2 linked regions of the Anolis sagrei genome follow. The protein of the gene in region 2 interacts with the protein of the main gene of each other region in a pairwise test. Links are inferred from orthologs where the notes say so. Each region holds a gene or a part of one and is shown on either strand. Other genes may lie near its edges. The genes, in order: CAV1 and KCNA3.

Evidence for each region.
Region 1: the proteins of KCNA3 (region 2) and CAV1 come close enough for resonance energy transfer, tested with the Homo sapiens proteins (2 studies listed by BioGRID). The link is inferred for Anolis sagrei from reciprocal best matches to the Homo sapiens genes KCNA3 and CAV1.

What each region holds. Positions count from the first base shown.
Region 1 is NC_090025.1:131,344,689-131,357,137, forward strand, and holds the start of CAV1 (caveolin-1), read right to left. Parts: upstream 4,982-12,449; 5' UTR 4,858-4,981; coding exon 4,828-4,857; intron 4,486-4,827; exon of another isoform or gene 4,403-4,485; intron 855-4,402; coding exon 690-854; intron 1-689. UniProt on the Homo sapiens protein: May act as a scaffolding protein within caveolar membranes. Forms a stable heterooligomeric complex with CAV2 that targets to lipid rafts and drives caveolae formation. Mediates the recruitment of CAVIN proteins (CAVIN1/2/3/4) to the caveolae.
Region 2 is NC_090024.1:183,294,419-183,306,967, reverse strand, and holds the start of KCNA3 (potassium voltage-gated channel subfamily A member 3), read right to left. Parts: upstream 6,487-12,549; 5' UTR 5,979-6,486; coding exon 4,176-5,978; 3' UTR 3,946-4,175; exon of another isoform or gene 2,416-3,945; intron 1-2,415.

The sequences.
Region 1 (12,449 bases), on a different chromosome or scaffold from region 2:
GAACCGCATTACATGAGTCTACACTGCGATATATTCCAGATCATCAAAATTGCTAATCCACATGATGTGCTTTGAACCGGATTATATGTGTCTACACTGCCATATATTCCAGATCATCAAAATTGATAATCCACATTATATGCTTTGAACTGCATTATATGAGTCTACACTGCCATATATTCCAGATTATCAAAATTGACAATCCACATGATGTGCTTTGAACAGGATTATATGAGTCCACATTGCCATATAATCCAGATCATCAAAATTGATAATCCACATGATGTGCTTTGAACTGGATTATATGAGTCCACATTGCCATATAATCCAGATCATCAAAATTGATAATCCACATTATGTGCTTTGAACTGAATTATATGAGTCTACACTGCCATATAATCCAGATCATCAAAATTGATAATCCACATTATGTGCTTTGAACTGGATTATATGAGTCTACACTGCCATATAATCCAGTTCAAAGCAAATAACCTGGATTTTAAATTGCAGTGTAGATCCAGCCTACAGCTCCCAGGATTCCATAGCATTGAGCCTTGACAGTTAAGGTGTCAAACTGCACTCACTGACCCTTAAACTCCCTTTCTTTCCCACTTTATTTTTCTCACTTGAAGGGGAAAAAAATGTTGATGGTGGGCTTGGGATACTGAAAAGATCCGGAGGCTTCTTACCTTGACGACGTCGTCGTTGAGATGCTTGGGGTCCCTGTCGACTAGGTCGATCTCCTTGGTGTGGACGTCGTGGTACTCCTTCTCGTTCATCTCATCGGCCATGGCTTTGTTGTTGGGCTTGTAGATGTTGCCTTGCTCCCGGATGGGCGCGGTGTAGCTATAATCCTAGGAAAGAAAGAGTGAGGGGATCAAGCTCTCAATCCGGAGCCCTTGGAGGGAGCTGCTTCCTGGAGAGAGGCTGGCACCGGGGGTGGGCAAAGGCGCTGCTTGGAGACGGGGCTCAAAAAGCCCAAAGCAAGTTTCACTCCCGGGTGGTGGGGTGTCCAAAGCAGCTTGGCAAGAGAGCAGAGAGGAGCTTCATCCCGGGAAGGCCCCCACGGCTGGCTCTCTGGGATTAGAATGCATATATAAATGCCTCCTACACCCCACCCCTCGGTACCAAGCCGAGCCGCCGCCAGGGGTCCGACCTCTCCAAATGCGCAAAGGACGGGAAGGGTGTCAGCCGCTGCCCCGCCCCGCCCCTGCACCCCAAGCCTTGGCACTTTCGCCAGCCTCCAGCCCCTCAAAGTCTCCTCGGGGCTGGATCTTTCTTCCCTTCCAGGGATCTTTCCTCAAGGAAAGGATCCGTCGGTTTCCAAGACGCGCCTCGACGCAATCTGGCACTTTCTGTCCCGGCGCGTAACACACACACCCCTCTCCAACATTGCTTCCTGATCCTAAGCGACCGGCACTGCCTTTACTCCGAATTATATCCCCCCCGAATTGGCAGGAATTAGAATTAGAACTCACTGGGATTCTAACCCCAATGGGAAGCCGGCCAACAGTGACTTTTTTCCTCATCACACTTGAGAATGCATGCACTTTGAAGCCGGTTGCTGCCTCTTGCAGAATGCTGGGGTTTGTAGTTTAGTGAGGCTGTTAAAGGCTCCCCCCTAAACTACAAACCCTAGAATTCTGCAGCAACCAGATTTAAAGTGGATTCATTCTCTAGTGTGATTAGGTCTTTTAAATATCTATTTAGCATTCCCTTCTCTTCATATCTCTTCCATCAACTCTCAAGCCAACTCCAAACCTCTCTCTTTTTGTTCTCAAGGGCTGAGAAGCCCCTTGGCCCTTCTTGATCCAAGTGGAAGCTCAGAGGAAGCAACAGGGCAAAGGACAGAAGGAAAACAAACTCCCGAAAAGGTTCCCCGGGGCTTTAGAAGAGAGGAATCTTTCTGGGGTTGAGATAAAAAGAGTCCTCCTTGACCACACCTTGCAGTTCCATTTGATGGGTTCAGAAAACGCAAACAAAACCTCCTCCACGACTCCTTGCAGACACTTTGGTGGACTGCCTGCATACACTACCCCACAACTGGGATCTTGGACATACAAGGCCCCTCCCAGCTAAGAGCCCAGTGTGCATCTATACTGTGGGATGAATGCAGTTGGACACCACTTCAGTTGCCTTGACTCAATGCTATGGGATCAGGAGAGATGTAGCTTCACAAGGTCTTGAGCTGTGGTCCTCAACCTGTGGTTCTCCAGCTGTTTTGAACTTCAACTCCCAGAAATCCCAACCAGTTTACCAGCTGTTAGGAGTTGTGGGAGCTGAAGTCCAAAACATCTGGATTTATTTATCCTGGGGGGGGGGGGCAAAAAATTGTAAAAAATCTTGGAGTGTCTCTGGTGTTTCTATAAGAAGGTCCTCCATTGTGCATGCGGCAGGGCTCAGGCTGCATTGTAATAGGTGGTCTGTGGTTTGCTCTTCTCCACACACACATGTCGTGGACTCCACTTGGTGGCCCTATTTCTTAAGGTTGGTTCTGCATCTCATGATGTCAGAGCACAGCCTGTTCAGTGCTTTTCAAGTTGCCCAGTATTTGCTTTGTGGCTTGAGCTTTGTGGTTTTAGCCTGCCACTTTTGGTTTCTCGCTTGCTGAGGGGTCCCTGTGAGTGTCTCTATAGTTCTTAGGAAGCTTGATTTAAGACATTGGCTTGCTGGCTGATATCTGAACAGTGGATCTTAGGAAACTATTTCTTGGTGTGCTCCAGAAGCAAACAGAAAACACCTGGAGAACTAAAGGTTGAGAACCTCTGGTCTTGAGCCTTCTTTGCCCAAGAGTGCTGGTGCCTCACCAAACTACACATCCCAGGATCCCACAGCATGGGACCAAGGGAGTTAAAGTGGTAACCAACTGCAATAATTCCACAATGTCGATGCACCCTTAAAAACTCTTGAAGAAAATGGAAGTATAAGGCATCATCATCATCTTAGGAGCCCCTGGTGGTGTGCTGGCAGAACTGAAGACTGACAGGTCATAGGCTTGAATCTGGGGAGAGCGTGGATGAGCTCCCTCTGTCAACTCAAGCTCCCCATGAATGGACATGAGAGATGCCTCCCACAAGGATGGTAAAACATCAAACATCTGGGTGTCCCCTGGGCAACATCTTTGAAGACACCAGAAGCGACCTGCAGTTTCTCAAGTCACTCTTGACATGGAAAAAATCATCATCATCATCATCTTCATTGGCTTGTCCAAGTCCCTTAATTCTACAGTGGATGTACCTTACCTCTCAGCCTCACCCGCTGGGTGCGAAGTGGAAATGAGGAGGAACACTTTTAGAAACGGAACAAATACCAACACTTAGAAAGAGATGGAGAAGGAACTTGAAAGGATAAGAGGTTTTGTGTGTGTCAGGAGCGAATTGAGAAACTGCAAGTCGCCTCTGGTGTGAGAGAATTGGCTGTCTGCAAGGACATTGCCCAGGGGGTGCTCGGATATTTTGATGTTTTACCATCCTTGTGGGAGGCTTCGCTCATGTCCCCACATGGGGAGCTGGAGCTGTAGACCTGTCAGGTATTCTGATGGGAAAAATGTTTAACCCACTGCGGGAGGCTTCTCTCATGTCCCCACATGGGGAACTGGGGCTGCCAGAGGGAGTTCATCCACCCCGGATTCCAACGTATAACCTGTCAGGTCTTCAGTCCTGCTGGGAAAAATGTTTAACCGACTGCGGGAGACTTCTCTCATGTTCCTGCATGGGAAGCTGGAGCTGACAGAGGGAGCTCATCCACACTCTCCCCAGTTTCGAACGTATGACCTGTCAGGTCTTCAGTCCTGCCGGAAAAAATGTTTAACCCACTGCGGGAGGCTTCTCTCATGTCCCTACATGGGGAGCTGGGGCTGCCAGAGGGAGCTCATCCACACTCTCCCCAGTTTCGAACGTATGACCTGTCAGGTCTTCAGTCCTGCTGGGAAAAATGTTTAACCTACTGCGGGAGACTTCTCTCATGTCCCCGCATGGGAAGCTGGAGCTGACAGAGAGAGCTCATCCACGCTGTCCCCGGATTCGAACCTACGACCTGTCAGTCCTGCCGGCACAAGAGTTTAACCCATTGCAGGAGGCTTCTCTCATGTCCCCACATGGGGAGCCGGAGCTGACAGAGGGAGCTCATCCGCGCTCGCTCCGGATTCGAACCTACGACCTGTCGGTCTTCAGTCCTGCCGGCAATGGGTTTAACCCATTGCGCCACGGGGAGTTTAACCTGAGGGACAATCCCACAGAGATGGAACATCCTAATAGGAGAGCCCTCACTCAATTGGGACAGATTGGCGCCAAAAGCTTTAAGGGCAGCCCCGCCAGTGAGTGCTGCTGGCACTGGGGAAGTGATATTGGCAAAGAAGCCCGAGGGCACCCCATCTCCCTCTTCCCTTCCCTCCAGCACTTACTGCAAAGGAGTCCCTCTTCCTCTCTCCTTTAGAAATCCTCCTCCACTGCAGTTTAGTTGGAGAAAGAAGCCCGGACAGGGAGAGCCAAGCGGGTAAGTGGGGAGGGAGTGGATATCGGACTGGAAAGGGGGGGGGGGGGAGTGAAAACAAGTGCCCCGCCAGCAGATCGGATTACCAAGCCAGGCAAATAATACTTTACACACAAAAAAACACCCCAAACACCTCTCTTACGTCTTGTTCCAGCTTTGGAGGAGAGAGCGAGAGGGGGAGTGTGTGTACGCGCGAGAGAGAAAGAGATAAGGGAAGAGCCAAGAGTCCTCAGCGAGGGCTCGAGCAGGTCCTTGAGGTGCCAGGAACCGAAAGCAAACCATCCACTTTGCAGCAGCAACAACTCAAAAAGAGAGAGAAGGCGAAGTCCTTCTTACCTCGGAGTCCACGTATTTGCTCCCAGACATGCTGTCCCCGACTGGCGCGAGTTATAATTCCCAGCGCCCAAAGAAGGAAGATCGTGTATTGTGTTCAACCCCCCCTTCTTTCCCTTCCCACCCGCGAGTGGGAGGTATCTCTCCAAGTTATGCGCCTGGACACCCGCCAAGGGCTTGTTCTAGGCTTGGAGGAGGAAGGGGAGGAGGAGGAGGAGGAGGAAAGGGTTTGGGGGGCATCTCATGGAGATCTTGCCTCCTCGCCTGCTTTTATTCCCCTCCCTCTCTCTCTCTCTCTTTCCTTTTGGGAAACTTGAGGCCAGCCTTGCTTGGAAAATAAGTACACACGCGTGGCTTTGCGGGGGACAACATGCCGGGGGAAGCCGTTGCTGGGGCTTTGGCGAGGTTTTCCATAGTTTGCAAGGCTGGCTGTGTGTGTTTTGGACCGTTCACAGAAGGAACCTCCCGCCCTCTCCTCTGCACTTCCAACTGTGCTGACCAAAAAATCAAAAGCACCTCAGATGACCCAGCTTTTGATGTTGGCAGAGCCCACCTATGCAGGAGAGTGAGGCAACCGCTTCAGGTAGATGAGAAGCTCCAGGGAGGAAGCTGACTTGTGGTCCTATTTATTTACTTATTTATTTACTAGCCGTCCCCTGCCACTCGTTGCTGTGGCCCAGTTTGGTGAACTGGAAAATAAAGTAATGGTTTCTAATATATGTAATTTCTTTATGCTTAAGGGGACCCAGTCTTTCTTGTTTCATTATCAGTGTTGATGTGCTTACTTAACTTATTAGGCGATCCCTCCTCTGAGTAGGATAGTCTTCCAAGATCAATGTCCTGGCAGTGGGTCCCTAGATGACTGTGGAGCCCTATTCTTGATCTGCATCTTCTCCCACAGTGAGGGCATTGGTTTCCAGGTGGAAGGCGGTCCTGGTCGGGGTTGGCTTGACGCACCTTCCTCTTGGCATGCTTTCTCCCTCCATTCCTGACTTTTCAAATTCTACAGCACTGTTGGTCACAGCTGACCTCCAGCCCGTCTTTAAATCTCTTTTCCTGCCCACCAACATTCTGTTTTCCGTTCTTCAGTTCGGAGTAGAGCAACTGCTTTGGGAGATGACAGTTGGGCATCTGAACAATGTGGTCCATCCAGTGAAGTTGATGGCGGAGGATGGTGGAGGACCATCACATCAATGCTGGTGGTCTTTGCTTCTTCCAGCATGCTGACATTTGTCCACTTGTCTTCCCAAGAGATTTGCAGGATTTTCCAGAGGCAGCGCTGATGGAATATTTGCATGTGACGTCTGTAGACAGTCCACATCTCACAGGCGTATAGCAGGGTTGGGGAGACAAAAGCTTTATAAAAAAGCACCTTGGTATCCATACGGATGTCCCGGTCCGCAAACACTCTGCTTCATTCGGAAAAATGCTGCACTCACAGAGCTCAGGAGGTGTTGTATTTCGGTGTCAGTGCCAAACTTTGGTGGAGAGGTGGCTGCCAAGGTAGCAGAAATGGTCAACATTTTCTAATATTACACCATTAAGCTGTAATTCTGGCATCTGAGAGGTGTTGGCTGCTGACTGCTGGAAGACGACTTTGGTTTTCTCAATGCATGTTTATCTTGAGGGGGGGGGGGGGGCTCACTGGATGGGACTCAAAGTGGTTTCCAACATATTCACGGCAAAATTCAATACTTAACATTCATATGAAAAACCTAACATGATGCAATAATAACCAATCTATATAAATAAAAATGTAAATGTCCGTTTGTTCATGACCTTATATCTCCCAAAAAAACTTCACTGATTGTTTTGAAATTTTGACACAACGTAACATTTGAACAGGTGAATAGTTTTATGTTTTCACATACATACTATTATATAGATGTCATACCTGTGACAGGTAAAAATATGCTTTGCTTCAAAAACATTGCCATCTGCTGGACGGGCAAGCAACACATGCTATACTGCATATTTTATGATTTTAAAGATTCTAAACCTTAAATCTCCCAAAATACTTCACCGACCGCTTTGGAAATGTTATGGTATGTTCCCAGACTGGCCCTCATCCGCTGCTATCCGTACTTGGCACTTGACTCTTCTCCTCATGCCACTATCCCCAGTTCCCTCCGTTCTGACCCTGCGTCAGCATCCAAGATACCTGTCTTGTCAGCCTCTTTTCTTCCAAGAGAAGAGTGCCCCCCCCCCGATGTTTTTAGTTTGCAGCTCACAGGCAGTCCTAGGCCCCATCTAAACAGCCATATAAAATCCAGATTATCTGCTTTGGCCTGAATTATATCAGTCTACACTGCCATATAATCCAGTTCAAAGCAGATAATCTGGATTTTATATGGCATGGTAGAAGCCAACATAGCCAGTGGTGATGAATTCTGGGAGTTATATTCCAGATGGTATCTGGAAGGTCACATGATTGCCATCCCACAACAAACATAAAGCCTGGGACCTTTGACCACTGCCAGTGTTGAAGTCAGTTCCAATGGTCACTTTGCTTCTATATGTGACAATAAGGAAAGGGATAAACCATGATATACTTTGACTCAGATGTCAAAATGTCTTGGGATGGCTCCTGTGATGATAGGCAGTTACAAGGATTTATGGTGTTTCAGCTCAGAGCCAAGGCAAACGTTATGCACCATAGAATTTGCATTTCATGTCAACCAAAGTAAAAGCTTCATTTTTTTTCTGTGTGGTTATTTCTATCCCTAAAGCAGTAGATCTATGGAGTCAAACTAGAAGGAGACTTTGGTCCCTGCTGGTTCATTTCAAAAACATTGCAGATTTTCTCCAGCTCTGAATCCTCATCCAAATCCTTACCATCAAATGGATTTCAGAATGATTGCTTGTGCCAGCCCATTTTATTACATGTTTGCCTTTTGTATTGTTCTTTAAGCCTGGGGAAAGGCCAGGATTGGTGTAAACTTGCAGAAATCTCTCCTTAAAAAGTCTTTCTACCTCACAATTCAACAGTAAGATCTGTCCCTTCATGTTCATTTAAGTGCTGCTGGTGAGGATAAACCCTGGCATGGAAAGGCAAAGCAGAAGATGATGATTGCTCATAGGGGAAGCATGGAATTCAGGGCGTGGTTCCTGGTTCTGCCTAAAAGAGAGAAAGAGAGTGAAAAAAGTAGCCTGGAGTTTTAAAAAAGCCCTAATATTATTTTGAATTTCGAATATGCTTAAGAGTTTTCCAAGAAATTACGTTTCAGACTTTATAGAGACCATTTAGCACCCTGTATCCTACTTTGATATTTCACTTTTGCTGATGACTGATTGATGTCAAGATCTTGAATAGACTACTGCAAGACGCTCTATGTGGGGTTGCCTTTGAAGAATGTCCAACGGGAGGCAGCCAGATTGCTCACCAGTGGTGTACAGAGAGCATACAATCCACCCCCTGCCTCCACTGACTGTCAATTTGCTACCGAGCACAATTCAAAATACTGTCTTTAGCCTATAAAACCCTAAATGGTTCTGACTGCTTACCTGTCTCCCTCTATGAACCAGCCCAGATGCTAAGGTCTTCTGGGGGGACTCTTCTCGATCCCACCTTCTTCACAGGTGCGACTGGTGGAGACAAGGGACAGGGCCTTCTCAGTGGTGGCTCCTCTACTGTGGAACTCCCTTCCTAGTGAAATCAGATCGGCTCCCTTCCTCCTGTCCTTTAGATAAAAAGTTAATACCTGGCTATGGGACCAAGCGTTTGGAGAGTAGTACAGGGTAACATGCAGCTATGAAGTGAATGGACTATAATGTAATTTGGAATGGTTTCTGGATTATGATTTTGGGTCTACGTGCCATGTTTAACAGTCAATGTAATGTATTTATACGCCATTGCTTTTATGAATTTCAATGTTTTTAATGCATAATGTATTCTGTATTTGTATGTTTTTATGTTTAATGTGGCATTGAATATTATCAATTTGGAAGCTGCTCTGAGTCCCCTTCGGGGTTGAGATAGAACAGGGTAAAAATGCAGTAAAATAAGCTCAAATGTAGTAGCTGGATACAGATGTTCATTATCAATATATCTGTTAGAGATAAGAAAAAAAAAACTTTTTTGGCCTACCTGTCCCAGAACCTTCCTGTCAGCATAGACATAGGCTGGATCTACACTGCCATATAATCCAGATTATCTAAACAGATAAATCCACATTATCTCATTTGAACTGCATTATATGAGTCTACACTGTCATATATTTCATTGCAGAAAATCTGGATTTTATATGGCAATGTAGATATAGCCATACTGATTGCACTAAAGAGAGGTTTTCTGGTCATATGTCACAGTGAAAAATGCACTTTTATGTAACAAAAAATGTATTATTTACTTTGGAAACCTATTGGATAGCCTTGGGTGAGTCATCATAAGTCAGAAAGGCAAAGCAACCCCCCCTCTGAATAAATCTGACTAACCATGGTAAGTTTGCCCTGGGGTCATCATAAGTCAGAAGCAGCTTGAAGGCACAGACAAATAAATAGGCTTTTCTATTTCTGTGCTTCAAAATCTCTCCCATGGATAGCCTTTATAACACAAAGATCTAAATATGGAATTATGAAATTTAAAAATGTACAATCTAACCTTTTTTGGGACTCCACATTCTTCCTGTTAAAATGCATTCAGAACCAAACAACTAGAAAACAGCAAAGAGAAAAAAGGAGACGAATGTGGAAAGATTTATGTTTTGGGATAAAATGCACAAAGCTTGGTCTTCACACCAAGATCACAATTAGACAGAGGGCATGTCTACACTGTAGAATGGATACAGTTTGACACCACTTTAACTGTCCCAGATCAATGCTGTGGGATCCTGGAAGTTGTAGTTTGATAAGAGATTGTCAAACTACAACACCCAAAATTCCATACCATCGAGTCATGGCAGTCAAAGTGGTAGAAAACTGCATTACTTCTACAGTCTAGGTCAGTGGTTCCCAACCTTTTTTTGATGAGGGACCACTTTGACCAGGGACCACTCTCCAACATTAGTACCAAAAGGGTTATGAATCCGATTTTGGTCAACTTTAGATTTGGCTTGGTTATTTAGGGTGCTGATTCAGAAAATTACATTGGATAGACCACATCAGCTCTAGTTTCTGATACAGAACATATGCCACCCAATAATCGCCATCTGTTCAGCCACAGAAAACCATATTTAATAATTTAGAGCTGATGTGGTAGTAGTAATCTTCCATCAGCCTCTCTCCTCCTGACATTTCCATTGCCTCGGCACTATAAGAGGGTTTTGAGAGACCAGTTGCTCTTGTTGCTACATGGTTTCAAGGCAACAGTATAGCAATGGTGAAGTCATGGACCATATTTTTGTTCTTACAGACCATTGGTGGGAACTACTGGTCTAGAAGCACTCAAGAGTGATGCAACCTGAACTGTATACCAGGATCTGATCTCTGATTATTTGCTTATCCTAGATTATCTGGCATTGTAGACTCATATAACCCAGTTCAAAGCAGATAATCTGGGATCAGATACTGGGCAGTGTAGCTCTAGCTAGAGATCGCCATCTTCACTCCTGACCCTGGTAACAGAAGAACTTGGGCCAGGCCCCATTCCTCTATTAATGTTAAGATTTGGTCCAAAACTGGCACATTCTGTTCTGTGTGCACCACATGGAACTGCAAAAAGGAATCTTTGATGGTGGCAGAGTTTATATATTCAGGGCGAGACATTCCAGAGCAGACAATGAAGGATGATGGTATCTGGAGAGAGAGAGACAGGATAAGCTGCTTAAGTTCGAATGGGAAATATGAATAAACTATAACCAGGAAGTGACTCACCTCTGCAACCATTTCTGTGTAAACTACATTATTGCCTGTCCTGCAAAATCAATCTGTACTCACTTACAGAAATGCAGCTATCGTTGTACTGGTGAAAACGTTTGACAAATCGACTGATGCCTTTGCTATGGTGAGTTGAGCAGCACAGAACGAGCAAACTTACAATGAGATTAAATCTTCTTTTCTGCAAACTATAAAGTCATCTGGTGGTGCAGTGGGTTAAACCACTGAGATGCTGAAGTTGCTGACCAAAAAGTCACAGGTTGGAATTCAGGGAGCGGTGTGAACTCCCACTGTTAGCACCAGCTTTTGCGAACCTAGCAGTTTGAAAATATGCAAATGTGAGTAGATCAATAAGTACTGCTCTGACGGGAAGGTAATGGCGCTCCATGCAGCCAGCCACATGACCTTGAAGGTATCTATGGACTTAGAAATGGAGGTGAGCACCAATCCCCAGAGTCGGACACAACTGGACTCAATGTCAGGGGAAAACCTTAACCTTAACCTTTACTATGAAGTCCCAGCACACTTTTTTTGTTATGAAAGATCCAGTCTTATGGAAACAAATACAAATTGAATTATTTTGGCCATACAGAAAAATAAAATAACATCCAAATTTATGTTCAAATAATACTCACTGGAGGAAATGACAGTTTTATGTCCAAATGTATTGGCTGGAATATCTTAGAGGTGAGTATGTCTTCGGGTCACTTTGGGATTTAGGTCATTCTGGAATCAATTTGGGAGCAACAGGTTTTGTTGTGTGGCTGATTAGATAGATAGGTCTGGAACTGGTTGGAGGCCAGGAAGCTGATTACATTAATCACAGAACCTAGGTTCAAACATCTGCCCCCCCCCCCATTTCCAGGAAGATGTGCATAGGAGGTGAAAAAAAAGGGAACGTAGGGGTTAGTTACCCCTCCCAGGGGGTCAGTTAGTCCCCTGCCAGGCAGCCATGCTCTTCGGATATTTATTAGTAGGCCCCTTGCCCCTGCTTTCTGAATTCTCATGCAAAGTGCATGAGCGAGGGCAGGTGTCTAAAATGAGCTTCATATCTTGCAGAATCAATTTCAGCTTTTGATCTGGTATGTATTGGAATCTGCTGAAACACATTAAAGGGCTTATCTTGCACTTTCCTGCGTCTTTCTTAAATGCACTATAACCCTTTTAATCACTGTTGTATAGTGCATTGGTGATATACATTTTATAGCTGCCACAGTTTCAGGTCATATTGAAGTTGCATTAAATGGTTAGTGTAAAAGTATATGGGGCCCTTGCCAACTGATGGCAACTCTCAGGGCCGTAGCCAGAATTTTTTTTCGGGGTGGGGGTGAGGGTGGGTGGGTTGAAACTTTTTTTTAGCAAATCACGAAGAGTAGTTTGATAACACAACAACAACATTTTTAATACAGTCCAAAGTCCCTTATTTCTCCATAAAAGGTATAAGATACAAGGTATGCAAGGTTAGTAAGGCCAAAAATAGCAAAAAAAAAAAAAAATCCAAACAAACAAAAAACCCCTACTCCCCCCCCCCCCCCCGGGCTACAGTCCTGGCAACCCTTGAATTTCATGGGTTTTTTAGGGCAGAGAATACTCAGAGGTGGTTTCGCCAAGGCCATCCTCTGATATATAGTCTCAAACACCTGACTGATATTCATCTAAGTATTAAATAGTACTAATTATTAAGTACCCATCTAAATAGAGCTAACCTTGCTTGGTTTTCAGGATTAGATGAATACATTTCAGGGGTATTTAGGCAGTCTATTCTAGAACTAGATGTTTGCAAAGTTAGTTTTTTTAAAAAAAAAATGTTT
Region 2 (12,549 bases):
GGTGCTTTGAATGCGATTTTCCTGCTTCTTGGCAGGTGGTTGGACTAGATGGCCCATGAGGTCTCTTCCAACTCTATGATTCTATGATTCTATATGGTAGACCAGCCATCCCTAGGAAAACAGCTGCTATTTATCATAATGGCCTGGTTCCAAAGCACAGGACATGAGAAACATTTTCCAGAATCAAGAAAAATTTCAAAAATTATTTTGACTGATGAGACCAGCAACAAAATGTTGCATTTTAGTATGTTTCTGTTTAGAGTACCAATCAGAATGCCATGACTTTTTACAGGTTATTGTCTTCTATCCACTTCAACAGGCATGTAGCCGGGGGGGGGGGGGGGTGCTGAAGCCCCCCAAGCCCCCCCCCCCACCGAAATTCTCATGGTGGTCTGCGAGAAGGCCTTACTGGTACATTATTTAAACTGTTATGTTTATTCATATCATGATCTGATCACCATGCTCAATATATCCCATATGCATGGGGATATTGGGGTAACAATACAAAAGGTTTGCTAGGGTAGACCCTCTTTCACTCAGACTCAGCCCCCCCCCCCCCCCGAATCAAACTCAGCTCCCCCCGAAACAAAATCCTGACTATGGGCCTGCACTTCAATTTTTCCATATTTAAACCCAAGAAACAGCATTGTTTTCACTTGCTTAGCAAAAGGGATGAAAGCAATAAGGAGATTTCCTTCCTTAAAAGCAGGGGTTTGAACTCTGGTCTCCAGAATCGTCAAACCACTATACCACACTGGTTCTCACAATGGTGCTATTTTTTAGCTAAATAAACAACTCTCAAACAGCAAGAAACAAGAATGCATTATGGGATGATGTGGAAGAAGTAGAATCTGCCAGTGGGAAAATCCAAATAGGGATGCTAATATCTTGAAATGCGCCCAAAGCAACACCTTGGCCAGTGAGTTCTTGCTTTATGATAACATTCCACAGGCATTGAACAGTCTGAACAAAAAAAAATGAAAAAGAAGACTTCCATGACATTTCCTCATCATTCACCATTTCCAGCCAAACTCACAACAGGATGAAATTTGCAGGCAAGCAAGCTACGATGACCATTTCGCTGGCACAGCTCTCTACCCCACAGACAGTAATTAGCCCAGTTCCCAGCTGGTGGAAATTACAAGATTTGATTGCAGCTCTACATAAGTGCCCCAAATAGCTGAGGACTCAGCCAAGTAATTTATCTCAGGGTGCTAGAACTGATTGAAAATGCAAAGCAGATACAGATCCTGAATGGGATCAAGAGAGATCACTGCATGCAGACTGCAATTCTAAACAAAAGGCATCAGTGTATTGTCAAAGGCTTTCATGGTTGGAATCACTGGGTTGTTGTGAGTTTTCCGGGCTGTATGGCCATGTTCCAGAAGCACTCTCTTCTGATGTTTCGCCTGCATCTATGACAGGCATCCTCAGAGGTTGTGAGGTCTATTGGAAATTGTAAAGTTAAAGGTAAAGGTTTTCCCCTGACATTAAGTCCAATCGTGTCCGACTCTGGGGGTTGGTGCTCATCTCCATATCTAAGCAAAAGAGCTGGTGTTATCCGTAGACACCTCCAAGGTCATGTGGCTGGCATAACTGCATGGAGTGTCATTACCTTCCCGGCAGAGCGGTACCTATTGATCTACTCACATTTGCATGTTTTCAAACTGCTAGGTTGGCAGAAACTGGGGCTGACCTCGGAAGCACACACCGCTCCCCAGATTTGAACCTGCGACCTTTCGGTCAACAAGTTTTGCAGTGGTTTAAACCACTGCACCACCCCATTTTCCTAGTTTCCAACAGACCTCACAACCTCTGAGGAGGCCTGCCATAGATACAGGTGAAACGTCAGGAGAGAATGCTTCTGGAACATGGCCATACAACCTGGAAAACTCAAAATAACTCAAAAGGCATCAAACCATATGCTGATGAGTTGAATCTCAGATCACTGCGGTGAAGTAATGAACCTTTCCCCTTTCCATCACTACTACATATTTTAAAACATACTGATTCTATGAAGTCTGCCTTTATCTGTCGATCACTTCGCTTTTCAAATATTTACATATTCTCACAGATGTAGTCAGTCTACCTTGTTGAATCGTAACATCACGGCTGGTATGGTTCACTAACCTGCAACGCTTAAGGTCTGGCTGATTTTGAAAGGAAATAGCAAGTAACTTTACTCTGAATCTAAAATAAAAACCAGGAGTGAATGTCATTATAAATATGATGGAAAAGCAAGTTAAAATGCTTTAAAACAAAAAAAGAAATTTAAATTCCACATGGTTGCATGTCAAATGTTTCAACAGACACCTCATAGAGGTTGGGTTTAAAATCAGTGATGGTCTCATGTTGCTGATACATCCATACATATCTTAGGAAGAGCAATGCTTCCTACAGTAGCAAACAGCTCACCTGTGTCTTCCCTGATACTCTACAGCCTCAGGTGTGTAGATGGCAGAAGATGAGCATATATTCCCAGATGGTTTAAGTTCTTCTCAGCCCCATACTTTGTGGCTCATTGGTGTTTATTTCCCTAGATTGGCATCCTCTTAAAACGTTTTGGGTCTTCTTCTTCTCCTTCAGTGCCACACATGCCTTGAAATGAATGGTCCTGTTGCATAAAACTAGGTCATGCACCATGAATTAATAAAGGTTTCGTCCTGAAGGAAGCTGGGGATGGTGCCATCTTTGATTTGCCTAGGTGGTGATGTGGTACAATGAGTAAGGATTCATTCCCAGTCTCAAATATTGGGGTATCAAATAGTAAAAGAGATTCAGGAACCTGAAGTTGCTGGTGTTTTTTGTGGAACAGGTGTTTTTTTTTTCTATCGAAACATGAGGAACGACTGATATTCTTCCTCATCTTCGTGTTTTGGCTGGCACCAGGACACCGAGAATATTGCACGTCCAAAAATGATGCACACCGAATAGCACTCAGTAGTTTCCACACTTAAATCTCTCTGGGATTACTGCCGCGCGTATGTAAGTGTGTGAGTGTGTGATTTATCGGAGCAGAGGCTTTTCTGTGGAACCACAGAAGTTGGAACCATCTGGAATGGTTGCTATGGAAACAGCACAGGAGTGGGGGAGGGAGAGACCGGATGCCATGGCAACCTCTGGGAGTTTCCCAGGAAACCAAATTGCTATGGAAACTGCATCACTCAAGTCCAAATTAGTAACTTCCGCTGCAAGGCGGGTGCATTTGCCACTTTAATCTTCTTGCGATAGATGCAACCGCTTATCTTGCATGCATTGGCAATGGATGGAAACATCCCTTTTGTTACTAGGGTTTCCAGTGGAGGCTGCAGTCTCTGCCAAGAGCCCATTGGAGATTTACTAGGAGCGGAGCAATTCACGATACGCGGAGTGCTAAACACTCAGGGCACGTTCCGGACAATCCACTGTCCATTGTACTATGGGGAGAGAGATCTTCCACTATACCATGCAGGTAAACTTTCAGGCTCAGGAAAGCAATTATTTGGTCTTGTGGCCCAAAGATACCCCAAACCACAATGGAGGTTTTTGTTCTTGTTCCATCTAAATGATTACACAAATGACCTGGGCGGATGGCACACAGACTCTAACCTGACATAAAGAAACCTGGACTGCACTCTCACATACCACACATTAGATGTTTCAACAATAGGCATCATTGTAGAACAGGATGGCAGAGATGCGCTGTGGCATTAAAATCATCACGTATATTTTTTTTCTTCACTGTCGGCAAGATGGTGACGTTCACTTTGCTGTCACTTCCTAACTTTCAGTCCAACAAGTGCAGCCAGGCAAGGAACATAAAATCAGCAACAGAACTGTTCTTTGCAAAATCAGACAACAAAGCACGTTCCCTGACAACAACAACAAAAAAAATCCCCAAAGCCCCGCATCAAACAGCGCAGAACAAAAACCTGTTCCTGGAGGAAGCGGCACGCACGTACGTACGTCTTTGAATCCTCTTATCTGTCTCCTTTCTTCACATCTGCTTGGTTCGTTTACCTTCCCCAAATCCCCATCTTCGGAAGGAAGGACGAGAAAAGTACACACATGAAACAAGAGCACAAAGACGGATGGTGGTGCATGTTCCTCACAACAACGATTATGCAGACCCTCTTGTATATATGTGTGTGTGTGTTTATATATATTTATATATTTATATCGCCTTGAAGGGTCTCTTAAACATCTGTGAAGATCTTTTTAATATTCACACAGTTGGGATTGTTTACGGCCGTGCAGTTGCCCGTCTTAAAGGCAGCCTGTTTGAATGCACTGTTGCTGATGCCTCCCTCTTCAATCACCATGTACTCGGACTTGCTGATCGTGGAATTGCTGCGAGCTTTTCTCAGCTCCTCGGTGGAGGAGAGATGCTGGCAGCTTCCTACATGCATGTACTGGGCTTGTTCTTCACCTTCTGTTTCCCGGTGATAGAAGTAATTGAAGTTGGAGACAATCACAGGCACAGGCAAGGCAATGGTCAGCACCCCAGCTATGGCACAGAGAGACCCAACTATTTTGCCCCCAATTGTGATCGGGTGCATGTCCCCATAACCCACGGTAGTCATGGTCACTACAGCCCACCAAAAGGCATCAGGGATACTACTGAAACTCGAGTTAGGATCATCAGCCTCCGCAAAGTAGACCGCGCTAGAAAAAAGGATAACTCCAATGAAGAGGAAGAAAATGAGCAAGCCCAGCTCTCGCATGCTGGCCTTGAGGGTCTGCCCCAAGATCTGCAGCCCCTTGGAGTGCCGAGAGAGCTTGAATATACGGAAGACTCTAACTAGCCGGATGACTCTGAGGATGGCAAGGGACATGGCTTGCTGGCCATTCCCTTGCCGCTCGGCCAGCTCAGTCCCCAAAGTGATGAAATAAGGTATAATGGCCACAATGTCAATGATGTTCATAATGTTCTTGGAGAAGGTGGGCTTGCTGGGACAGGCAAAGAAGCGGACAAGCAGCTCAAAGGAGAACCAGATAATGCACAGCGTCTCCACCACGAAAAAGGGATCAGTGAAAGAGGACACTATGGAGGTTGCAGGGGAAGAAGAATTCGTGAAAACGTCTGCCATGAAGGGGCCCACGCCCGTTCCAAACGTCCCTGCAATGGTATCATAGTCACGGTCATCTCTGAACTCGGGCAAGGTCTCCAGGCAGAAAATGACAATGGAGATGAGGATCACTAAGACCGAGACAATGGCGATGCCCCGCGCCGGTCCAGAACTTTCCGGGTACTCAAAGAGAAGCCACACCTGGCGCTGGAACTCCTTCTCGGGCAGAGGCCGCTGCTCCTCACGGATGAAGCCCTCATCTTCCCGAAATTTCTCCATGGCCTCCTCACCCAACTGGTAAAAGCGGATCTCTTCAGAGAAGATGTCGATAGGCACGTTCACCGGTCGCCGGATGCGGCCGCCGGACTGGTAGTAGTAGAGGATGGCGTCGAAGCTGGGCCGGTTGCGGTCGAAGAAGTACTCGTTGCGCAGGGGGTCGAAGTAGCGCATCCTCTTGCGGGGGTCGCCCAGGAGGGTCTCGGGGAACTGGGCTAGCGTCTTGAGCTGGGTCTCGAAGCGCAGACCGGAGATGTTAATGACCACCCGCTCGCAGCATTCGTGCTCACCTCCTCCTCCGCTGCCCAACATGAGGTGGTGGCCGGCGGGGGGCAGGGCGTGGACCCCCGGGTGCTCGTAGCGCTCGCCTCCCAGCAGGGCCTGGGGGTGCTGGGTGTCGTCCAGGAGGGGGTCCTCTCCCCCCACCACCGTCATGCCCCCCTCCAGCTCCTCTGCCGCCTCCTCTGCCTCCTCTTCTTCCTCTTCCCCCTCCTCCTGCCCTTCCTGCTGGAGGGCGCCCTCGGGGAAGGGCTGCTCACTGTAGCCCAGGTTGTGGTGGCTGCTGGCCCCGACGACGCCGTTCCCGCCGCCCCGGGGCTGCCTGCCAGAGGACGGGGCGGCCGGCGAGCGCAGGAGGCTCCGCTGCTCGTCCATCCACGGGGCGCGGCGGGAGCCGAGGGGAGACGCGCTCTCCCCAGACGGCTCCGCCCGGCTCTGCCACCGCCGTCGCGCGGAGGAGTCCGCCCTCGCCGCTCACGGGCTCCTCCCGCCGGAGCCACACGGAGACAGCCAAGCAGCAGCCAGCCAGCCAGCCAGCCAGGCGGGGAAGGAAAGAAGGAAGGAAGGGGCTTCTTCACCCGCACGCCGCAGCTGATGATGATGAAGGGGAACCGCCTGTTGTTGTCGCCGCCGCCGCCGCCGCCGCCGCCACTACTGGAGAAGGACAGCGAGAGAGAGAGCCAGGCGGGAGGAAGAGAAGGAAGAGGAAGAGGAAGAGGAAGGGGGAAAGAGAAGAGGAAGGAACAGAGCAGAAGCCCCCCAGGGCACAGGCGACCACGCGGACGGGGAGGCAGCGCTCCAGAATCCTCCGCTAGAGTCCCTGCCTCGCCAGACGCGTTTCTGGCGAGGATTTGAGCCAACAGAGAAGAGGAGGTCGCAGCCAACTAGAAAGGATAAGGAGCTCAGCCAACTAGAGAAGATTAGGGTCCTAACCTACTACAGAAGATGAGGATCTTGGCCAGCTAGAGAAGATTAGCATCCCAACCAACTAGAGAAGATGAGGATCTCAGCCAACTAGAGTAGATTAGGACCTCAAACAACTAGAGAAGGTAAAGATCTTGGCCAACTAGAGAAGATTAGGATCCCAAACAACTAGAGAAGGTGGGGATCTTAGCCAGCTAGATAAGATTAGGATCCCAACTAACTAGAGAAGATGAGGATCTCAGCCAACTAGAGTAGATTAGGACCCCAAACAACTAGAGAAGATGAGGATCTTGACCAACTAGAGTAGATTAGGATCCCAAACTACTACAGAATATGAGGATCTTGGTGCGCTAGATAAGATTGGGATCCCAACCAACTAGAGAAGATGAGGATCTCAGCCAACTAGAGTAGATTAGGACCTCAAACAACTAGAGAAGGTAAAGATCTTGGCCAACTAGAGAAGATTAGGATCCCAAACAACTAGAGAAGGTGGGGATCTTAGCCAGCTAGATAAGATTAGGATCCCAACTAACTAGAGAAGATGAGGATCTCAGCCAACTAGAGTAGATTAGGACCCCAAACAACTAGAGAAGATGAGGATCTTGACCAACTAGAGTAGATTAGGATCCCAAACTACTACAGAATATGAGGATCTTGGTGCGCTAGATAAGATTGGGATCCCAACCAACTAGAGAAGGTGAGGATCTCGGCTAACTAGAGAATATGATTATCCCGACTTACTAGAGAAGACAAGGACCTTGGCCAACTAGAGAAGATTAGGATTTTTTTAATTATTTATTAATTACCATATTTATACCCCACCCTTCTCACCCCAAAGGGGACTCAAAGCGGATTTACACATAGGCAACAATTCAATGGCATAAAAGCCACATACAATTAAAATAAATAATTACATTAAAACAAATAATTAAAACATCAAAATATTACACCAACTATTAAAACCATGTAATCCATGATCATAATTCAAAGTCATTCCAGTACTCATTGCACATATTTCATATCCATTTCTTGCACCATGATTATTATTCAAAGGCTCGGTCCCATAGCCATGTATTCACTTTCTTCCTGAAGGCCAGGAGGGAGGGAGCTAATCTAATATCACTGGAAAGGGAGTTCCACAGCCAAGGGGCCACCACTGACAAGGCCCTGTCTCTCATCCCCATCAACCACACCTGTGAAGGAGGTGGGACCGAGAGCAGGGCCTCCCTAGAAGATCTTAATCTCCACAATGGTTCATAGAGGGAGATACGGGTAAGCTGGGCTGGATCCCAACCAACTACAGAAGATGAGGATCTTGGCCAACTAGAGAAGAAAAGGATTCCAACCAACCATAGAAAAGGAGCATCTCAACTAATGAGAGAAGCAGATCTCAGCCAACTAGAGAAGATTAAGATCCCAACCAAATAGAAAAGTTGAGATTTCCACCATCTAGAGAAGAAAAGGATTCCAACCAACTATAGAAGAGAAGCATCTCAACCAGAGAAGATGAGGATGCAGAACTACAATTATATGGGTCCCTGTAAAGGAATGAAGCTCATATTTCAAGCCTGAACCTCTAGCATTCTTTTGGTACACTCTACAATAAGAAACAATCACTTTAAGCAAAAAAAGAAAAAAAAGAAGAAGCTTTAGGTGGAGGAGGGTCCTGTCCTCTTTTCATGCTACACTAGGGGTGTCACATAAATTAAGGAGTTGTCTTCTTCTCAAAAGTTCTTCATCCTCTTTTTCAAGGGCTGATCAACAGGGCTGTAATTCACACCAGCATTTGGCAGGAATGTGTTTTTGCAAACTGTTGCCTGGTCAATAATATGTTTGTTGTTTATTTGTTCAGTCACTTCCAACTCTTTGTGAGCTCACGGACCAGCCCACCCCAGAGCTCTCTGTCGGCTGTTGCCACCCCCAGCTCCTTCAAGGTCAAACCGGTCACTTCAAGTATGACATCCATCCATCTTGCCCTTGGCTGGCCACTCTTCCTTTTTCCCCAGCATCAATTATTATTATTATTAATTATTATTAATATTTATTAATATTAATATTTTGTGTCAATAATAATAATAATAATAATAATAATAATAATAATAATAATAAGCTTTATTTGTACTCCACCTCATCTCCCTAGAGGGACTCAGGGCAGCTTACAACCAGACAAAAAACATAGGTAGTATGTTAAAAAAATAATCATGTATTAGTTAATAAAAACAAAATAGCACAACAATATATGCATAAATAAACAACCAGTTAGAAACACTGTAAAATCCTATAAAATATTATATAGTGCAATTGAAAGCCATTCCTATCATTAGAGGATCCAGATCAGTGTTATAATAGCCGTTTAGTGAAACAAATGTCCACCAAGGAAGGCAAAAAGCAGCCCAGGAGGTTTCTGCCCCACTTTATTTCAATCCAAGTTTTGGTGGGTTGCAGTTCCTGAGCTTTTCCTGCACTGGAGGCTTCAAGATGCTTGACAAAAGTGTGAGCTGGCTCTGTCCTTAGGAAATCGAAGGGTGAAGAATGAATGCAGTTGGACACCACTTTCACTGCCCTGGATCAATGTTATGGAATCAAGGGAACTGTAGTCTTACACAGCCTTCAACCCCTTCTGACCACTATGGCAGTTAAAGTGGTGTCAAACTGTATTCATTCTACCATGTAGATCAGGCATGGGCAAACTTTGGCCCTCTGGGTGTTTTGGACTTCACCTTCCACAATTCCTGGTGTACATAATACCAAACTATCCACTAGAAACTTTAAGAGTTCAGTGAGCCGAAATTTAATTGAAGCTGTACACACGAAAACCATTGGTATTAATAAATAAATGAACAGATTCAAAGTGTGTGCAAGAATTCATATCTGAAGTGGCTAAAATATTTTAAACATGGGCCACAATTCAGAGACTGATCACTTTTTGCATGTTAGAAGTCCCCAGTTCCATTCTTCATATATCCAGATGGAGCTAGGACAGAGCTCCCACTTCCACAAACAGCTATTGTTCCCACTGAGCAGGAGACACCCATGTCTTTCCCTCTGCTGACATTGCAGGTTATAGTGAGTGCCATGAATATGTAGCCCAAACCCTGCCAGTGTCCTCCATAAACACCATACTGCCCCCCACCCAAGTGAAGGCTCTCATGCAGGGACAATTTCATCCTAGATGTTCTGTTTTTCGTCCACATCCCATGGTTCCTATCTCTCTCCATTGCTGTGGAATTTGCATGATCCCACCCACTGCCTCTCCATTAACCCTTTCCTACCCTTTGCTATGGCACACAACAAACAGAGGAATTGATCAGCAACTGAACAAGAAGTTTGGGGAAAATTCACCATGATTTACAGGAGTTGTACTTGACCTACATCCAGAGAGCACTGTTAACCCAACTAACGATGGATCTGGATCAAACTTGCAATGGGTAATAGGAGTTGCAGTACCTTCACTGATGCTGTGATCCCCACCGACAACTGACTGGGACCAAACTTGGCACAGAGAAGCCCCATGACCAACTGAACATACTGCAGGGGTTTGGGGGAATGGGTATTGATTTTGGGAATTGTAGTTCACTTGCATCCAGAAAGCACTGAACCCAGTCAACATCAGATCTGGACCAAACTTTGCACACAGACTCAACATGGCCCACTGTGCATACAAGCCTGGTTTGGAAGTGATTGACCTTGGATCTGAGAGTTGTAGTTCACCTTTATCCAGAGAGGGCTGAATCCAGCCAACAATGGATCTGGACAAACATGATACACAGACCCAACATGGCCAACTGTGAATACTGTCAGGGTTTGGGGGTGATTTCCCTGGGGATCTGGGAATTGTAGTTCACCCTTATCCAGAGAGCACTGAACCTAGCCACTGACGGATCTGGACCATCCCAAAACAAACAATGTCTTCTTCTAATAACCCAGGCACTGCCATATCCCCGAGCTAATAATATATAAATGAAATATTTTCATGAGATATGTTGTTACCAATGCATTTTGTTATTACAATTTATGTATGTATCCAGATCTCTCAGAAAAGATTGATTTCACTTCTGGTTTGCTAATAAAACTGAATGGCTATGTCATGAAATCATGCATGTCTACAAAGCATGTCACCAACAGGAAATGTTGGGAAAGCTCTACTCTGGAATCTTAGTAATATATGGAGCCAGGGCAAGTACATAATTCTGAATTAGTTAGACAATTCATATGATTGTATGCACACACTGCAGCTGCAGCTGTGGCAAATGTTCTTTTAACAGCAATGAGCTTCTCTTGAGAAATTTTGGTCGCACGCATACAATATGCATGCATAATATCAAATATATATGCGTGAACCTCTTTACTTCATGTCGTGGGAAACAGGGCTCATATGCAAGTGAGTATTTTTATTCTACATTCTCTAATTCCTCTCCCTCCCCATGTTTTTGTATAGTGGAATATTTCAGTGGTTGTTAAAAATAATTTTACACAAAACACTTCCTCCACTGTCATCCCTCCTCCACAGTACTGCTTTGCACATTTTCAATAATTGCAAAAAGATGCCAGGAGGAGTGGAGAAAGCACAACGACAACACAAGAAATAAGAGCAAGTTGCATATGAGTCAGCAGTGTGATGTGGCTGCAAAAAGGGCTAATGTGATTTTAGACTGCATTAATTGAGCTAAAGCTTCAAAATGACAGGAAATATTTTGCTTTATTTCCCCTTAGTCAGAGCTCAGTATTTTGTCTCTTTGTAGATTCTGCTCTTTAAAAAAGATGCAAATAGACTGGAATTCAGAAGAGGACGGTGAACTTTCGAAAATAAACCTGTATCAAAATATTTATATCCTATCCTTTATCAACAGGTCTCTGGGTGACTTACAAAAAAACCCCAAATTAAACCATCTAAAATGTAAGGCAATAACAGGTTTAAACATTCCAAAATCATATTAAACTACTGACATTTTAAAGAAAAATTAAAGCAGGAGAAAACACTGGGGACCCTTCCACACAGTCCTATATTCCAGAATATCAGGGCAGAAAATCCTCAGATAATGCAGTTCAAAGCAGATATTGTGGGATATTCTGCCTTAATATTCTGGGATATAGTGCTCTGTGGAAGGTCCATGAAAGATGGAAGTAATTACACAGAGAAATGTGATGCCTAGTGCAAGTGATGCACAACGTGTGGCCTTCCAGGTATTTGGGATTACAACTCCCAGAAGCACTACCCAGAGTGACCAAAGGTCAGGAATTCTGGGAGCTAAAGTTGAAAAAACCTGGAAGGCCACAGGTTGTACACCACTAACCTAGGGCCCTTCCACAGAGTCCTACATCCCAGAATCTCAAGGCAGAAAATCCCACATTATCTGCTTTGAACTGGAATATGTGGCAATGTGGACACAGATAACCTAGATCAAAGCAGATACTTAGTAACATAGTTACAAGATTTGTGGATATGATGCCTGACTGTAAAATGCCATTTAAACTTTCCCCAGCCTCAAAGACACAAGTCCTCTGTTGGGTTGCAATTCTCATTATTTGCAGTCCACATGCAGATAACCAAAAGTGATGAGAATTATTGTTCAATAACACCTGGAGACCCAAATTCGGAAAAACTAAATAGCAGCAACCCACTACATCAAAACGTTATTGTTGGCCCTCTGTGACTATGGATTCTCTGTGGATTCAACAGCCTTTTGTAGGCAACTATAAGGTTGCTTTGGTCCTTGATGAAAATAAATTTGACACTCCTGGTCTACAAGATCCCTTCCAACTCTTGATTCTGTGAGTTAGGGAACAACAGCAAGTAGCAAGATGCATTTCTTTAGGGGTGATCTTTGTTTCTCATCTTAAATTTTTGGAAATGGGGAGTTAAAAGAAACTGTGAAGGATAGGATATGTGACTAGGAACTGTTTCCTCCAACTTTTGTTGCTCCTAGCAGAACATTGTTTCACCCCATGGTGATCCTGAGCCCTTTGGGAGACATCCTGTTAACAGCAGATAAACATTTAAATCAGGTTAAGGAGACCAGCA